3 linked regions of the Arabidopsis thaliana genome follow. The protein of the gene in region 2 interacts with the protein of the main gene of each other region in a pairwise test. Each region holds a gene or a part of one and is shown on either strand. Other genes may lie near its edges.

What was found.
Region 1: the proteins of ATO (region 2) and HB21 interact in binary tests that used the Arabidopsis thaliana proteins (3 or more experiments, as listed by UniProt).
Region 3: the proteins of ATO (region 2) and AT3G11100 interact in binary tests that used the Arabidopsis thaliana proteins (3 or more experiments, as listed by UniProt).

The regions. Positions count from the first base shown.
Region 1 is NC_003071.7:681,585-686,914, reverse strand, and holds HB21 (homeobox protein 21), read right to left. Parts: upstream 3,281-5,330; 5' UTR 3,085-3,280; intron 2,627-3,084; 5' UTR 2,614-2,626; coding exon 1,681-2,613; 3' UTR 1,419-1,680; downstream 1-1,418. UniProt on the Arabidopsis thaliana protein: Putative transcription factor.
Region 2 is NC_003076.8:1,861,825-1,869,277, forward strand, and holds ATO (splicing factor-like protein), read right to left. Parts: upstream 4,610-7,453; 5' UTR 4,475-4,609; coding exon 4,301-4,474; intron 3,872-4,300; coding exon 3,758-3,871; intron 3,289-3,757; coding exon 3,184-3,288; intron 3,075-3,183; coding exon 2,932-3,074; intron 2,829-2,931; coding exon 2,732-2,828; intron 2,306-2,731; coding exon 2,156-2,305; intron 2,077-2,155; coding exon 2,005-2,076; intron 1,722-2,004; coding exon 1,563-1,721; intron 1,466-1,562; coding exon 1,259-1,465; intron 1,183-1,258; coding exon 1,036-1,182; intron 946-1,035; coding exon 799-945; 3' UTR 501-798; downstream 1-500. UniProt on the Arabidopsis thaliana protein: Splicing factor homolog to SF3a60 that may be involved in pre-spliceosome formation. Is necessary for gametic cell fate determination.
Region 3 is NC_003074.8:3,474,769-3,479,718, forward strand, and holds AT3G11100 (sequence-specific DNA binding transcription factor), read right to left. Parts: upstream 3,133-4,950; 5' UTR 2,553-3,132; coding exon 1,817-2,552; intron 1,736-1,816; coding exon 1,722-1,735; 3' UTR 1,419-1,721; downstream 1-1,418. Other genes in the region: LBD21 (LOB domain-containing protein 21), read left to right, coding at 268-765.

The DNA of each region.
Region 1 (5,330 bases), on a different chromosome or scaffold from region 2:
AACAACGTTCATCTTAAACCAATTTAACAGAGGGTAGTGTTCGTAATTAGAAACATAAGAATTTGATGATGGATCGGAGCTCCGTACGTATTATGTACCCTCGATGATTTATTATATAAATATCAATTTAAAAAATAAACTACTCAAATCATTAACTAATTCACGACTATTATACACTCATACTTTGAGTTTGGATTACAAAAAAATCTTCGAGTATGAAAAAACTATTAAAATAAAATATTTAAATAAATTTATTGAAAAATTTATTGAAAAATCATGTAATATTTAAATAAATTTAGTAATAGTACAGTAAATATGTAAAATAAAATCATATATAAAATTAAATAATAAATTTATCATTAACTTATAAATTAAAAATTGAAAAGTTTACATTAATTATTTAATAGACACATGATAAATGTTAAAGTGATGATGTATCGATCATATGTAAAGAGTTGGATAATTTATATATATATATATATATATATATATATTTTATATTGTTATAGTGCTATAATGCTATGTCAATCTTGAAGGAGATAAAAATATATTTGAATAAAATGACGTTTCAATAACAAAATAATAGTAATGGCAATCAATAAACTATGTCAGTTAATTGAATTTTTATCTTCCACGAAATACGCAATACGCAATTCATTATTGATGTTTTACTGAAATCGAGTGATAAACTATAGGCATAAAAAATTATACTACTATAAAACAACAAGTGAAAATGTTACATTTAATATTACAATAAATGAAACATGTGATATCACAAGGAACAACAACATCTTAAAATCGTAACTCCATTTTGATGCATGACATATTTTATCCCATATCACATTACACGACTTGCAATATGCCAAGAAGTCACATAAAGTAAATGCACATAATTGTTCAAATAAAAGAAAAGGTCCATAAATGAGTTTACTAGTACACCAACCAAACATTTACTCAACCTAATACGTCATACATATTAGGACTTGACTTACACTCGCCAGGACAATCTCCAACTCTCTCCATTGATAGAAATCGTAATTTATTGCTCTCTTTGTTTTCCGTGCAATTTATTTTTCGATCATGAGAATGAAAATATTTTTTCAAACTAGAAAACAAAATAATAGAATCAAAGCAAGACCGGATGTTTAAAAAACAAGACAAATCAAAAAAAAATATTTTGTTAAATCAAAACAACGACAAAAAAGAAACAAGACAAATCAAAACAAGACCGGCGTAAGATTTAGGTAACTAGTATTAATTTTGTTATGGACTTTGTATGATACACTTCCTTTAATAAATATCAGAATTCAAAAAACAAAAACAAAAAGAGTTACCTATGAGAATCTAAAATTCTGCTACTCACATAAATAGTAAACGTGACAAATGATATCACGAACTACAAAGTCTAATGATTCGAAGTAAATAATAACAGTGCACATCCCAATGCATTGGTTAAATCGCCAAGAATTTTCTTAAACATACATTATAAGAAAACATCAAAAACTTATCTTACACGCTCCAAAACCAAGATTATAGGTACCCTAATAAAACACATGTTTATAAAGCTACCTAAACAATGATTAGCCGAGAAAGGAGAAAACATTAACCATACGATAAGAAAGTACTTAATTAATTAAGTAATCACATGAGTGAAGTTATATAACAACAATCTGAACTTAACTAAGGATTAGTAGAAGCAAGATTTTCAGTAATGTCGTTATTACCAGCAGAAAGGTCGACATTGTTACTAACGTTGTTGCTCTTCTTGGAGAGATTTTGTTTGTTGTTGTGCATCCAAACTTTAAGAACTCTTCTCCTAATTCCAATCTCTTGACAAAGCTGTTGAACAACAGATTCCTCTTGTCTCTGAATCTTCCAACCAACTCTTTCCGCAAAACTAATCATCTTCTCCTTTTGCTCTTGTGTAAACTTTGTCCTAAACCTTTTCTTCTGATTATGTCCGTAACTATACGGTGATGGTGGTGGTGGTGGCTGCCGGAATGTCAAGCTTCCTCCGCCTTCTTCCTCCATAAGATCCTCTGACTCTGAGTTGGATCCAGCGGTTGTAACGCCAATAGGCATTATCATTTGTTGTGGTAATGGTGATTTGATCATCTTGTGGTGGAACATGAGTTTTCTCTGCTGCGGAGGTGGTTGGTGGTGGTTGAGGTAAGGGGAAAAGAATGTTTTCTCTTCACCTTCGGTTTCTCTTCTATGAAAGTTTCTATGGCAGTTGCAAACTGAGCAAGTGAGAGCTTCAATGGAACCTTCTTCACCACTTGGCATAAACTCTCCACAACCATCAATGGCATTGCCTCCCATGGTAGCTGCATGGTTCTTTAGGCATTCCTTGTACTTTATCACCACAGGCTTCTCTTTCTTGATGTTGGTAACCATGATGTTGTAACCCACATGATGATGATGAGAATGATCATGATTTTTACCAAGACCATTACTATTTGAGGAGACTAGTAGTGGGTTTGAAGTAGTAATGTTGAGAGATGATGGTGCAGAATTGGCATGATGATGATGGTTCATGTTCCCATGCCCACCTCCACTATTACCATAACTAGTGTTTATTGGAATAGGATCTTCTTGACTTGCAATCTCCATTCTTTTGATCTATCTGCCAAGGAAATAAACACGATTTTATATTTAAAACTTTTTTTGGGTTTTGCAAAGTGTTTCTTGGTTTGGGGACAAAGAAACTAGTTAGGAAGAAAAAAACAAGAGTAAAGATAATTAATGAGTAAAATTCAAATGATTAAGCTACAAAAAGGCAAGAGCTTTCTTCACTACTCATTAACCCCATTTTTTTAATTATTTCCTCCAAACAAAAAGAAAAACCCTAATTTTAGAAGGTCCATAAAGATAGAGAACAAAACGAAAAAGTACAAAAGAAAAGAAAAACTTATTGCAAGCCTGCTTAAGCAAAAGCTGACAAACCCACTTGAGAAAGAAAGGTCTTATTCCAAGTGAGAGGTTGATGATAATCAAGAAGACAATCTTTATTGTATCACCAAAACAAAATTGTTCTATTTAAACCAAATGAAAAAATTGACTGAAGAAGTTAAGAGCACATACCCACAACCAGAAAGAGCAGCAAACTTTATCTCAAAATGAAACCTTTCTTGAGAATAACCACAAGGTTCTGAGAATAGAGAGAGGCTAAGGAGTTTAGAGATTTAATTAGGGTTTTATAAAGTGATAGACTTTGAAGAAAGAAGATAAAGAGAGAGAGAGAGAGAGAGAGAAAGAGAGAATTGCAGGTGGGTTTTGGATGTGAAGGCACTTCTTAAACTAAGGGCTTAGAGTATTAGTAGTGAAAGCCAATAAAGCATGAGAAAGACACATGAGAGCCATAGCCATAGCTAATTATTTCCTCACTTTTCTACAGACAAAGAGAAAAAAGATCATTAATTAATTACACCTAGTTTTCATTTTATTAATTCATATATAGGATATTTTATTCAATAATGTCTCTACCAAATTAAAATTTGGGTGATAATATATAGACAAAAACAATACAATTGTGATCAAAATATGGAAAAGAAAAAGTGTAGCTAAATTATTTGAAACAAAAAAAGCTACATCATTTAATTTAAAATTTGAAGAAACAACAACAATCACTAAATTAGACTTTATAAGATAAGTAGTTATTCATTTTTATATACATTTTTACTCATGAAATGTCATTTTATAATATTGATATATCGCAGTCATTGATGAATTGAAGGTTATATTGAATATAAGACCATCCTCATTCTTCATTGGTGATACTTTGAGGGTGTCTTTAAATTAAAAATAATAGAAAAAGATAATTTAATGTTTTTAATTGTGTAATAGTGTCTTTAGAAAGACATTTTAGATCTCTAAAATAGAAGCTGTCTTTAATTTAATTTTAATTTATTTTTGAGATATCTACAAAGGTATGAGTAATGTGGATGCTCTAAGATTTTCATATTCACCCAAAACAAATTATCAGTAAAGGGAAAGAAAAAAAAGAAGAGAGCCAAGAATTAGGATTATGGGAGATTGCTTGTCTTGCACTATCAGACATCAAATTTACAACAGTGTAGAAACGTGTCAGATAATTAGTGGGAAGAGTATTGAAGTAGATAACAAAGAGAAAGTCATAATAAATAACAATATCTCATCTTTGTTCCAAAACATTAAATAACTAAAAATTTGGTAGTAAGGTATAATAATAATATTTTTTACCATCTTAAAATTTAAAAGTGTGAGATTGATACTAATTCAAAACGAAAGAATGTTCTAAACATTACTATAAAGCCTTAACTTGTTAAGCTAGTTAATTAAAAACACATATTGTTCCTTTACCCTTCGGCCTTCGCCATTAATTATGTCACGTATGATATTAGCTTCAAGAGGTTGTCATGTCATGCTTGTGAATTTATATGATTTACTTGAAGTTACTATTAATTATTGGTCCTACCAAATATGTGCACTTATATACCATGATCATCCGTTTTCTGGAACATACAATTGTGAGAAAGAATCAAAAGATAAACAATAAAATAAAAATATCATAATCAACTGATAATATAGTTACTGAAATATATTCATAAACCAAAGTTTGTTACGAGTTTTGTTAAGACCAAAATCTCGATTATTATTAAGTTTTGATAATATAAAGTTTTTGGTTTATATTGCGGGCTATCAGTGTTGTAAAATTAGACTCTATGTTATAGATGATATATGAACAATTGCTCTTGGGTGGCAGAATTGTAAATTTTGGCCTAAAAGTATATATAGTAAGTCTTGGTAAATAGATTTTTTTTATTGCTTTACATTTTCGACTTAATTATCACTAATCCCTATTTTTATATTTCTTTAAAATCAAACAAATGAAAACATCAAATCACCAATACATATTAAGATTTTACCTGAAAACTATTACTTTCTTGCTTAAGATTATTATTTCTGCTTCTTGATGACTAATGTTTTAAGATATATTTTTCTTTTTGACGGTCAAAAAATATGTTTCATTTTCATGTTTTGACCTTTTAGGTATAATTGTTCTAATCGACAAACTTAATTCGTTTTAGAAAAGTTCTAACAAACACGACAAGTTGTTGTCTCAACTACGGTGGCGGTTGTTCCTCTAGGTGAGTGGGGACTAATCTCATTTTTATTGATTCGTAAAAGAAGCACTAACTACCAAATTGCGGCAATTGCTAATGACCATTCAAGTCTTAATTACACAAAACACAATTAAGAAATAAGAGCAGTTCACTTTCTTAGTTTATAATTTCCTTGTGACCTTGTGGGCTTTTATTTTATAATACAAAAAAAACAAAAATTGAGAT
Region 2 (7,453 bases):
CTAGTCATCGAATGAGGCCGTTGGACTGTAAATAAAAAAGGTAAAGCCCATCCCAACTTTTATTTCTTAATTAAAATTTTGGAATATGATTAAGAAAGGAATATTTCATTATTCTTTCCAAAATAGCAAAATGAGATTGTATGTTTAGGTTTTTTGAAAACAAATAAAATTTGAAAGTCTTCGTATATGGACATATATCTGACCAAAATCAAATATCTGTGTATTTTTCAAAAAAAAAAAATATCGTAAATAAATATAATAAAAAAAAATAAAGGTAAACTATGTGATAGCTTACTTTAAAAAATTTGACAGTCGTATGAGGTATTGAGGTTGTATCTGTTTATTTTGATAATTTTTATAAAGTTTGACTCAAATTTTAAGTTTTATCAAAAAAGGAACCAATGATTTGTTAGGAATTGGATAATTAAGGAAATTAAAACATTCCAATTTTGTAAGAATATCAAAGATCAAAAAATTAGTTCAAAATTTGTGAGTACACTATCATCTGAAAACTTTAGTGATTGATTCTTACATGTAGTATCCTATATTAACTCATATCTGTTTCTTGTTATTGAAGTAAAGTCCTCAACTATTCCTTACTAGCATTGTCCATACAAAAACAAATTTTATATCCTCGATTGTGATAGTCAATTCAAAAACATAAACTAAATACTGTTTTAATGAGACGAAACCTCACAAAAAGATGACGAATGGTTTGATTTTACAAAGGCGAAAGGTAGAATATGGTTTAAAGGGATATAGTAAGGAGAGAAGATTTCATCAAGAGGATGTGATCAATCAGATGAGACCTTGGCGTTGAAGATCAGAGTAAGTCTTCTTGTTGTAAATGTTACCTTCACGATCTTCATATTCTTCTTCAAGTTCTGGCCTCCATTTGTTCACTCCTTGCCTCTCCTGTATCCTCTTCCACAATTCTTTGGCTTCCTGAAACAAACCAAACAACAACAAGATCAAATTACCAAACTATTTACTACTTTAAGCTGTACAAAGTCTTTGATCATATTATATTATTACCTCAATCGAAGTGATTTCGTTGAAGTTCTTTGTGTTTGGGATTCCTAGGCAACGCATTCCGTGTTGGTGTCGCCATTCTTTAAAATGTCTCTCAAAAGCCCTTCTTCCCCAATAGCTATAGTTCCCACATATCTCGCATTTAAACTCCTGCGTAATAACAAGAAATTTAATGTGAATCTATGTTCCTTTGATACAACAATGGTCTCATAAATAAACTACATACCTGGCCAAGGCCATGAAGTTTGTAGAGCCAGTATGGTATAGGCTTCCCATCCCAACCTATTGGTAGCTTCAGCGGATTGTAAATCAAACCGTCCTCGTCATCACTTTCTAATTCGGTATTAGCTTCCTCCCCTTCACGTTCTCCCTCCATTTCTTCATATGTCAACGACTGTTTCTTTACAATGTTTTGTTTTGTCCTTTCGATGGTCTATAAAAGGTGACAACAAGAAAAGTTAACAGAAAAAGTACAACTAGATATCTGGGAGGGGGAAAAAAATGTCACTATGAGCTTTCAATCAACTAACCTCATCAAGTAAATTGCAGAGTTTCTTCACTTTGGCCTCTGTTAGTGCAATCTCTTTAGCATTTTCAGACTCATGTGTTGATTTGGCATCTCCGTTTTGTTTTCCGTTGTGTGGAGGTCTGGCAAAATGTTTCTTATCCAGCTTTTCCAAAGGCGTATGCTGTACAAAAATTGAATTAATTAAGGGAATTAGATAACCTCAAGGTAATAAGAAAAGCTTCAAATAGAATTCAATCCCTACAAAACATGAACTATGACAACAAAAGCCTTAGTTTCATATTAGAAGAAGAGCTGAGCTGAACTACCAAACTAGGTTTCATAACAGCTAAATGTTCCTTCCAAACCCAGTAAGAACAACAAGAACGCGGCTACTAATTGATAAAAGTACCCTCTCATAAGACGAAACTTAAAGAAATAGGAGATTATATAGCAAGTGTAAAAACCTTTGTCAGGAAAAGTCTCTCGGCACGCTGCTGCGGAGTACCACCAACCTTCAGTCCTAATGCCCCCAATGCCTGAATGGCATACAAAGAACATATGATTAGGGGAATATGCTTCAAAAAGGATATTAACATGAAGTAGTATGGTCATTACCTCTTTTAGCTTTTCAGGTCCTACATCTACCAGTTCCTCGACTGTACTGTAGTAATCAAGATCTATGACAGTATGCTGAGATGGAATAAGTTCATTATCCAGGCCTTCTACTATTCCATCTGCATATTGCTCTTCAAAATCAGAACAAACCTGTAAAAGAACCAAACATATTAATCGCAACAGATCAAACAATAGGCACAGCATTGGCCAAACTAGAACTACCAGAATGTCAAACTATAACATGGTTCAAAACCTTCCGAGGATATACAATCTCTGCACTTAGAGCAAACTATGCACCAATGAATATTGAATACAACCATCTAGTTATGGCCATTTATTTTCCAAAATTATGTATTATCTCCAGGGGGATGAAAGACTCACAAAGCAACCAGTTGTTAGAACTAAGGAAATCAAATCCAAAGTTCTACACTTAATACTTGGGAAACTAGTAGAAACTTCTTAAGCACGAATAAATATACCAGTTATGTACTAATGCATAGTTCGAAACGCCCATAAAATTTCATAAGGCAACAAGGTAAACGCAATAAAATGATAAAGAAAGGGAGGAGCTTAAACCTTAGAAAGTATCCGGTCAAGATCTTGCAACGGCTCGGTTCGCTGGAAGAAGTAGACCAGGTACTCAAGTAGAGCTTCCATATACTTCATGTATTGCCTAAAATGAAAAATAGCAATACAAAAAGGAAAGCCATTCAGCTGCAGCTAGAAAAATAATTGGAGGCTTTCTAAGTAAAAGAAAATTCCAATGAAGTGTTTACCTCGATAACTTCAGTTTACGCGGTATTTTCTCTGGTTGAGAAAAAACATCAAGGTAAGCAGAATATTCAACCCTTTCCCCAAATTTAGAGTTGATGTACTGGTTATACATATCATGCAAGTCCAAGTACCGACCATTGCCTTCCTGCGTAACAGACAAGAAGATTTAAGTATTGACAATAAAAAAGGGGCTTACAAACTGTTAAAAAATGCGTCAACAAATAGCAACAATAAAAAGTCAAGCAGAAACCTACCTCTCCACTGAACGCAATAATTGGTTCCTCCTTCAGGCGTGCTTCGTAGTCTTCATTAGCATCAACAAGACGTCCAGAAGGATGCCTTTTATGATATTCACGTATCTGTAAGTTTATAAAAGAAGTTAAATAGTTGCAGCTCTGATGCTTTCATCAGTGGTACAAGAAAATCAAATAATTCAGACAATAAAAAAAAAACGAATTAGCAATTTGAATCTTATTCAGGGTGTCCTCATGAAAATTTCACCGCCTTAATACTCTTATGCAAAGCAAGCCTTATACAGCTAACCAAATTGTTGATGGAACAGAACTAATACACTTTCACTGAGATTTTGTACATAATTCTTGATTCTCCATCACAGTGGTTCAAGGCAATCAATAAAACTATTTTTTTTTAAAAGATCAACAGCTAAATAACAATGTCTAGATTAACTAATAGTCCGGTAAAGTTAGCTGCTCAATCTCTAATATACAACCCACAGAAACTAAAGTAAAGCCAAGTCTTGGTATAGAGAACCATAGGCAAGTTTTAGGGAAAAAAGACCAAGGAAGGTGCAAAGGATAAAGAACAAACCTCTTTCAAACGATCGTAAAATTCACTAAACACATTTGTCCCTGTCGCAGTCTGGCCACCAAGCGCTGCAATCTCATCATCCCACGCCCCATCCTTATCTTCATAGGTTTCAACCTTACAACAAACAAGAATCAAGGTTAGCATTAATCCAAGTTTGAGTTAATTATCAACAACAAAAATTAACTCAAATTTGTGAAATAACACTGAAGCATGCTTAGCTCAAAACTTAGAATCCCTACATACACACTTAAGACCCCAACTATAACCTATATTCAACACCAATCTCTGAAGTTTCTTCTCAATTTAACACCCAAGCCAGAGTGATTCAAAGCTAACTTAAACCCCACAATGATAACCTAAAAAGCTAAAGCAATTAACAGAAAAAGAGGCAACACTCAACACGAACCTGTTATTTAAAAAAAAATCAGCAACCCAAGTTTCTCTGCTCTGATCTAACGTATTCAAAAGAGAAGAGACATAAAAACATATGCGGGAAATAGAAAAGAAGATTAAAAATTGACGAGAAGAAGAGAGAAAGCGTACAAGTTTCTCAGTGGTGAGCATAATAGACTCAATCATGTGACGAACACGATGTCCCTGGACCAATCTGTCCTTGCTGGACGGTGGCTCCTTCTGTAGATCTTCCACAACCAATCGCTCCAACCTTTCAACCTCTTCGTGATTGGAGCGAGTTTGCTCGAGGAGAGTCGACGACATTTTCTCTGTCTTCGAAGCTTTGAAATCTCCTTCTTCGCCGGAGTCTAAACCCTAAATTCCAGTCACTTTTCTTTTCCTCAATCCGAAATCTCGCCAGTAAAATTTTTAACGCCAATCCGAGAGAAAAAGATAATCGGGTGGTTTTTGTTGTGGTTTGGGTCGTTTAAGCCGAACTATGTTTTGGGCCTTTTTAGACGGTTTGTGTTTTAGGCCTTTTTTTGACTGTTAGTGTTTTGGGCCTTTTTAGACTCTTTTTTTTCTTTTATATTTTATTATTATTTTACTTATTATAAAAAAATCTATAATATGGTAAAATACCATTTGGTAATTATTTTCTTTTAAGATCTATTCCATTTGGTAATTTATATATTTTTTATCTGATTGCAATCCTCTTTTAATGGGAATACTCAAACATTATGTGTTTGTTTGATATTGTACTATACTTCAATGGGTTCATTTGCAAAGATGTTAACGGAGAGAAGGTTGTACAGAAAAAAAATGGGCAGTTTACAACCATCCACTATGAATGGCTTTGATATTGGTAGCAAACTAACACAAAATCAAGTCATCATTGTCAAAGTTAAAGAGTTAACAAGCCATTTATTCACTCTTTTCAAATTGAATTCATGATATCTCACATGATATAAGATTTGCAAGCTATCTCCTAATAGTATTGAGGTTTGTTGAGATGACATCTTTAATAGATCAATGGAAAGAGCTATATTTGGTTGTTTTCCTCAGGAAAGAGCTATATAGGATGATCATATATTCATATTGAACCAACGATGGGCATTTTGGGGTAAGTATTGCCACCTGACAACAAAATAATAGCCAATCCCATAGACTAATCTTATGACTTCTGATATTGATTTATGTTTGTAAAACCAAAGGAAGATCTCCGAGTGGACATACAAAATTGAAATGTCGTTAACAATTCATATTTGGTATTATTTTTTTTATCTATAAACAATTTTCCATTATTAGTCACTTCCATGTCCAAGCTCAAGAATTCTGTTTCAGGTGTTGTCTTTGAAAGATAGTCCATGCCAACATCGTTTACATATCAGTATATCACTTACTTTACGGCAAACTAAGGCAAACCATATTTCGATTAGTTCATGAGTCGCTAATTGTAACTTAAGGATATCAAGGTTGGAAGTAATTCACTTTGAAACATCACCATTTCGTATGAGTTGATCTTCTTAATAAAAAGATAATAAATACAGAGAAGCAAATGAGAGTTCATCGTAAACACAGCAAACCAAATCAAGAAAACAAAGCAAATATGGTTATTCATTTCAAATGGTGGAATCAGAATATCAATAAGCAAAAACTGGTACATGGTTTGATTCACGTTTGAGTTATATGTTCCTCATTTTCCACTATTCCATCAAACCAAAACAAACAATAAAAACTCAAACAAAACTTTTGAAAAGCGGCGAAGTCAGAGATGTTAAATATGCCTCAAACAGTTTTAAGCTCATAATGAGGAAATTACCCCTCATTCGCACATCTAATTGGTTCATCATTCTCGCCGTTTCATTGCAAAACCAATAAAAACAATGTATCCTACCCGATTATATAGAACGAGATACTAAATGAACGAAATTAAAATCTGAAAATCCTCAAACGCAAAGATCTCTAGCAGATAAAAGAGATAAACACTTATATCTGAAGAGTCAGCGAGAGAGGACCTTAATTCCAGATCTAATGCCGATATAAAAAAACTCGACCTATAATAAATCAGGAAGGTAAAAACTGGGTTAGTTCTTAGGAGAACCCTAATCAAAAACCCTTAATAAATTTCGATTTAGCGCAGCAATGACTCGACACGCTTCCATTAAGCATTTGTGGAAGGCGATCTTAAGGGCTGCGCAACGATTTAAAAAAAAAACGATAAATACGAATAACACGATTTAGAACATAAGCCCTAATATCTAAGAATTGGGGGTTATAATCGAAGATGCATTGTATATATAGTGAAGACTTGTTTTACCCTAGTCGAAGAAGCTTATCCTCGTTTATTGACTATTGGGCTTTAAGCCCATGTTATTTTAAGCCTTATAGGCAAAACAAGACAGAAAACAAAAAGACCAGAATCGCCTTATTCATCAAGTTTTTTTCTTCTTACTTAAACCGAACCGAACCGAACCGAATTGGATTGAGCCATGCCGACACGGAGTTCTGCTCTATAACTTTAATTCGGCACGCAGTCTAAATACAGAGACACTATATGACAAACTCCTCCATCGCCGGTGGTCTGCACAGGGGAGGGGAAACAGCGATTCGAAAATGTCAGGTCGTGAAAGTTACCGTCTTCAGCACCGAGATCCATCTCAGACTTCATATTTTGATGTATTACCAACCTTGTTCATTAATCATAATTGGACATTGTTTCCTTCTATGATGTCGTTTTACATTTCACTCATTGTACTCTTTTCTTTGTATCTTGTTGCTAAAACAGACAACTTCTTAGCAAAATCTATCCTGAAAGAAGTTATTGTCCGTCAAGGTCTGATGTAACTCTCAAGCGATATGTACTGAATTCATGAAGTAATGGAATGTGGGAGTGTACTTTTCACTGAGGTACTCGAGAACTATCATAGATGGCTATACTTGCCATTAGAGTAGTGGCTTCTCAGCTTCTCTTGTTTTCATTCAGGTTTCTGACTCATATAAACCCGATTTCCCGCAACTTGATGCTCAGACAGAGCGTTAGTCTTTTGGAGAGCTTGCAATCATGCTGGAAAGAAGATGTTCTCGTTTTCTCTGCTGCTGGCAAATTTCTTCGCTTGACATTGCAGCTTCGTTCGAGGTTTGTGAAATTTGACTTTAATATTATCATCAATATTGATAGACATATATCTAGTGAAGATAACGTGAAAACTTGCTTGTTTTACCTTAATCGAAGAAGCTTTTTCACGTTTATGGACTTTAGGCCCATATCTTACGACATAATCACTTTGGAATTTTGGATAC
Region 3 (4,950 bases), on a different chromosome or scaffold from region 2:
TCAATATATGATTATGATTTATGGACTCGAACTCACGACCAATCATGTAATTAGCAAGGAAAAGCTCAAAGCCAACACAAATGATGAATAGGCCCATGCCTTGTCCCATTTGTTTCCTTCTCTCTATTACTTTCAAAAACACTCTTCTTCACAAAAAGTTAAAAGACTCTTATCAATATATAAAGGAAGCACGAGATAAAACTTAGAAAAAACGAGAGCCTAACATTTACCACCAAAAAATCAAAACAAACAAACAAAAAGTTTGAGATGAGAGGGCATGAGCCACGATCAAGCTCATCTTGTGCAGCCTGCAAGCTCTTGAAGAGACGATGCACACCCACTTGCATTTTCGCTCCTTATTTCCGCTCAAGTGACTTGATAACTTTCGCCAAAGTCCATAAAGTCTTTGGAGCCAGCAACGTCAGTAAGCTTCTCGGTGAAGTTCCTGAAGAACAGAGACAAGAAACCGTTAACTCCTTGGCTTATGAAGCTGAGGTTCGTCTCAAGGATCCTGTTTACGGTTGCATTGGAGCCATAGCGTCTCTGCAGAAGAAGATGCTCGAGCTTCAACACGATCTAGCTGTTGCTCGCACTCGACTACTTGCCCATTCTGGGGTCAACAACAGCCAAGTGTCCCCTTTGGATGATTCTCCTGAGCTTGCTGCTTTTCTTGATCTTGTACCTTATAGTGACTTGATGTTGCTTGATGGGTCTACTAATCTTGATGCTTACTTGTATGATCTTGGACAGCCTCCTTTTGTATAGGCCTTATCTCTCTATCATATATCTCTTTATCAGCTGTATTTGCACTTTGCTTTACAAGTTATCTTTGACAATCTAAAGTCTGTCCCTAATGTATGAATTCCAGTATGCATAATCAGATGCTTACTTCATCATATGTATGAAAAAGGGTTTTAACTTCAAAAGTAACCATCACATGCGATGAGATAACTCAGGTACAAGATGAGCCTTGGAAGGTCAGAGTCCTTACCAGTTTTGGACCAAGTGGTAGGCCAAGGTGAGTAAAGTGAGGTGTTTTAGATGAAGAGCTTCTTTGTAAGTCAGGTATGAATAGGAGAGCACATGCTTATGTCATCCCGAAATTCTACCAAACATGAAACATTGATATATATGCTTCTATGATGTTCTTTTTTGAGGCTCCAATAATACAGCCTCATGTGTCAACTCGTCTCCCTCAGGCCACAAGAGTCTTGTCCTGGAGATTCCAGAGTGCAGCAAAGTCACATAAGCAAACATCCAAATCAATAGCTTGGTGGGTTTGATCAAATTCCAAACTGAATTATGAATGACTCTGATAAGAGTTCTCCTCAGAACCGTTCTACGCATCTTGTTAAGTCTGTACACATTCCTGAAACCTGCCTAAGCAAAAGAGTAATTGCAGATCACAGAAAGAGAGATGAGCACAATTTGGAACTGCAGACACTGATACACAAACCATCATACATTGATACTTCACAAAAGTACATCTTGATATGTCAGATACTATGAGAGTTCTTTTGGTAATTCGCATTGCTACTACCAATGTAACTCTACAATGCTAAAAAAGAGAATGAAAAAGAAGAAGAAGAAAAAAAGCATCGCGCTATAACTTAAGAAAACCTAAAGATCAATAATAATAACATCTTCTCCAAATCGTATGAGCTTTAGATCCAACCATTGCTCCTTGCTTCACATCAGTAACTCCTCCACAATCTACAATCCTACAACTTCTTACCTATACAACAAACAAAGCACAACTGAAGTTTCAGTAAACTCATCAATCACAACAAAACACACATAAAAATGAAAACTTTACCTGAAGCAGCTCTTCGTTTCCCAAGTTTAGATTTCTCAAGCTCCAATTGCATCTCCATCAACATATTCATTCGTTGTAACTCAAGCTCCTTTGCAACTTCCATTCTCTGTTTCTCCAATTCAATCATCATCTGTTGCTTCTTCCCCTCGATTCTCTCAAACGCTTCCCCTAACTTCAGAATCGATCTCGCTAGCTCCCTAAAGGCTGATCCTTCACTCGAATCTACATCTTCAACTTTACGATGCTTCCTCACCACAAATCCCCAATCACCCGCATCATCATCATCTTCTTCGTCGTCATCATCATCATCATCATCGTCATCGAGAGAGCTACCAGTTGATTTAGATCCAGTAGGATTCAAATTAGGGTTCATCAACGCCGATTTAACAACAGCACCGGACGATTTCTTCATAACCGGACCGATTAAGAAATCGAGTCTATCAAAGAAGCACCAATTCGATAAAGGTTTCGCCTTTTCAGTTTTGTACTTCTTCTTCAACGTATCGATCCGGTTTTTGCACTGTACATCGGTCTTTGGCCGGCCATTCCCGTGGCTTGAATTGACGGCGTCGGCGACTTCTTTCCAATCGTTTTGCCGGAGATTTCCCCGGTTGAGATTGACGTAACGATCTCCCCAAGCTTCGATCAATGTCGCCGTAGCGTCTTCGCTCCACCAATCCTCTCTTCCCGCCGGTAGACGGTGAGTCTTCGACTGAGTCTCCGGCGTCGTCTCCATCTCGGAGTGGGAAAGAGAGGAGGCTAACGTGCGCGGTGGAGAAAGAGGCTTAGGATAAGAATTTCTGTTGGATCGGATTTTTGGTAAAGTTAAAAGAGAAATTACGGTTAAAGGAGAGATTTTTGATTACCGGCGGTGACGTCAGCAACGGCGATTATCTTCTTTCTCCTACCTCTCTCTTTTTCCTCTGCTAACCGAATCAATCACACTCATTTCTGAAAAACCGGTTATCGAAAACGGTTATCGAAAACCGGTTTAATCATAAATTGAGAGTCCTACTAACTAGGCTACTACTAGTTATAGTCAATTTCAAGCTTCTTTTAATGCGTTTCTACGGGTAATGATGATAAGATTACATTATTAAACTCATAGACTGATTGATAATAACGATTAGGGCTAGAATCTCATCAGTTCATGTCATTATAGGAAATCTTATAACGTGTATTTTTGTGTATTCTAGGAAAGACAGTAAATATGAGGTTGTATTAGTTTTGGTAGTGGTTTTTAAAAGTCATAATTGGAAAGAAAGAAATGTTATCAGAATATTAAGAAAATTTATACGTTTTGTGTATTCCAGTAACAAGATCATTTACGTTACGCCGTAACAAATTGAAGTTTGGAAGTGAAAAATGGTGGGATGTAATTAAGGAAATAGGTAAGCAGGCGAATTGTTAGGTAATAAGAGAGAGCATCGCAAACGTGTTAGGTCGTAGACTCTATGTCTATAATGTATGTTTCGTGCCGTGTCTTGTCTAATTGTCTTTTTGCTGTCTCGCCAATTGATATGTTAGTCCATGCCTAACTACTACTGTTTCCTCATAACTACTAAAATGTCGCTGAAATATTTGAAAAAAGAGCTGAGGTGTTTTTTCTGTCGATCAAAGTTTCCACGATGGTCTTGGTGAAGAGCTAGTAGAAATAAGCATATAGTTAGTGATGTTAACTTGGGCATTGAATAGCCATTTGTTAAATGGGTATGTGCAAAAAAAAATAACCCATTTAAACCCATTTAGAGAAAAATATCAAATGGGGTTAAATGGGTTACCCCAATTAAACCTATTTAATAAATGGGTTTACCCACAAACAAATGGGTACCCATTTATGTTTTATTTTATATTAGTTATTTTTATTAAAAAGTAGATAACTTAATTATAACTAAAATAAAGAGCAAAATACTAAATATATTTAAAACAAAACGTAAAATCACGTTTTTCCGCTAAAACCCATAAAATTACGTTTTCCCACCAAAATCACGTTTTTTACCAAAATCGAAAATCACATTTTCCCACCAAAATCGTAAACCGACGTTTTTCCGCCAAAATCGTAAAATCACGTTTTCCCGCCAAAACTGTAAAATGACGTTTTCCCACCAAAATTGAAAATCACGTATTTTCGCCAAACCCGTAAAATCACGTTTACCCGCCAAAATCGTAAAATCACGTTTTCCCGCCAAAATCGTAAAATCACGTTTTCCCGCCAAAACCGTAAAATCACGTTTTCCCGCCAAAATCACAAAAAGTGTTTTCCGCCAAAACCGTAAAATCACGTATTTCCGCCAAAACCGTAAACGACATTTTCCCGTAAAACCGTAAAATCAAGTTTTCCCGCCAAAATCACAAAAAAAAATATTTTTTGCCAAATTTGAAAATATTATTATCATTATATGTTATTGAAATCTATATTTTAGTAAATTATAAATATTTCAGATTTAGCTAATGTTTATGGACTGTTGTTATTTATCTATTAAGTTTATGAATTAATTAATAAAAGGCAATATCTCACTTAATTGGTTTAAATGGGTTCACATGGATTTACTAAATTTAAATGGGTAGGGTTAAATGGGTTTCAAAAATAAATGGATTTATATGAGTTTAAAGTTAAATGGAGTGGGTTTAAATGGGATGGGTTTAATTGGGGTGGGTTAGCCCATATTAACATCACTACATATAGTTTTCTAAACTAAATATGTCATTATCATCATTTACTGGTTTACATGCATCTTTTATACATTTCAAACTTTCTTATGAAAACGCAGATGTGAAAAGATAAATCATGATTTACAGGTTATCAAAGTGATGTGAGTTGGAACGTAAAACAATTTAGTTTGTCAACTGAATCTTAGACGCAATCGATTATTGTTACTCTTAAATCACTTTACAATAATATCAAATATCACATCCTGCAGCCAAGTAATCGAGCTAATCCATGATCAAGTATAGGTGGTGAAGCAACTAAAAATGTAGCCAATTTCGTTTGTACGCATAATTAAACAATGCTATTTATTTTAGTATGTTGCTACTTGCCAGTTGCTACCATTGGGATCTCGAAAACACACAAACGTACGTGCATGTTGCCTAATATAGTCTTTATTATTGTTCCTAAACTAATTAAGACAAAT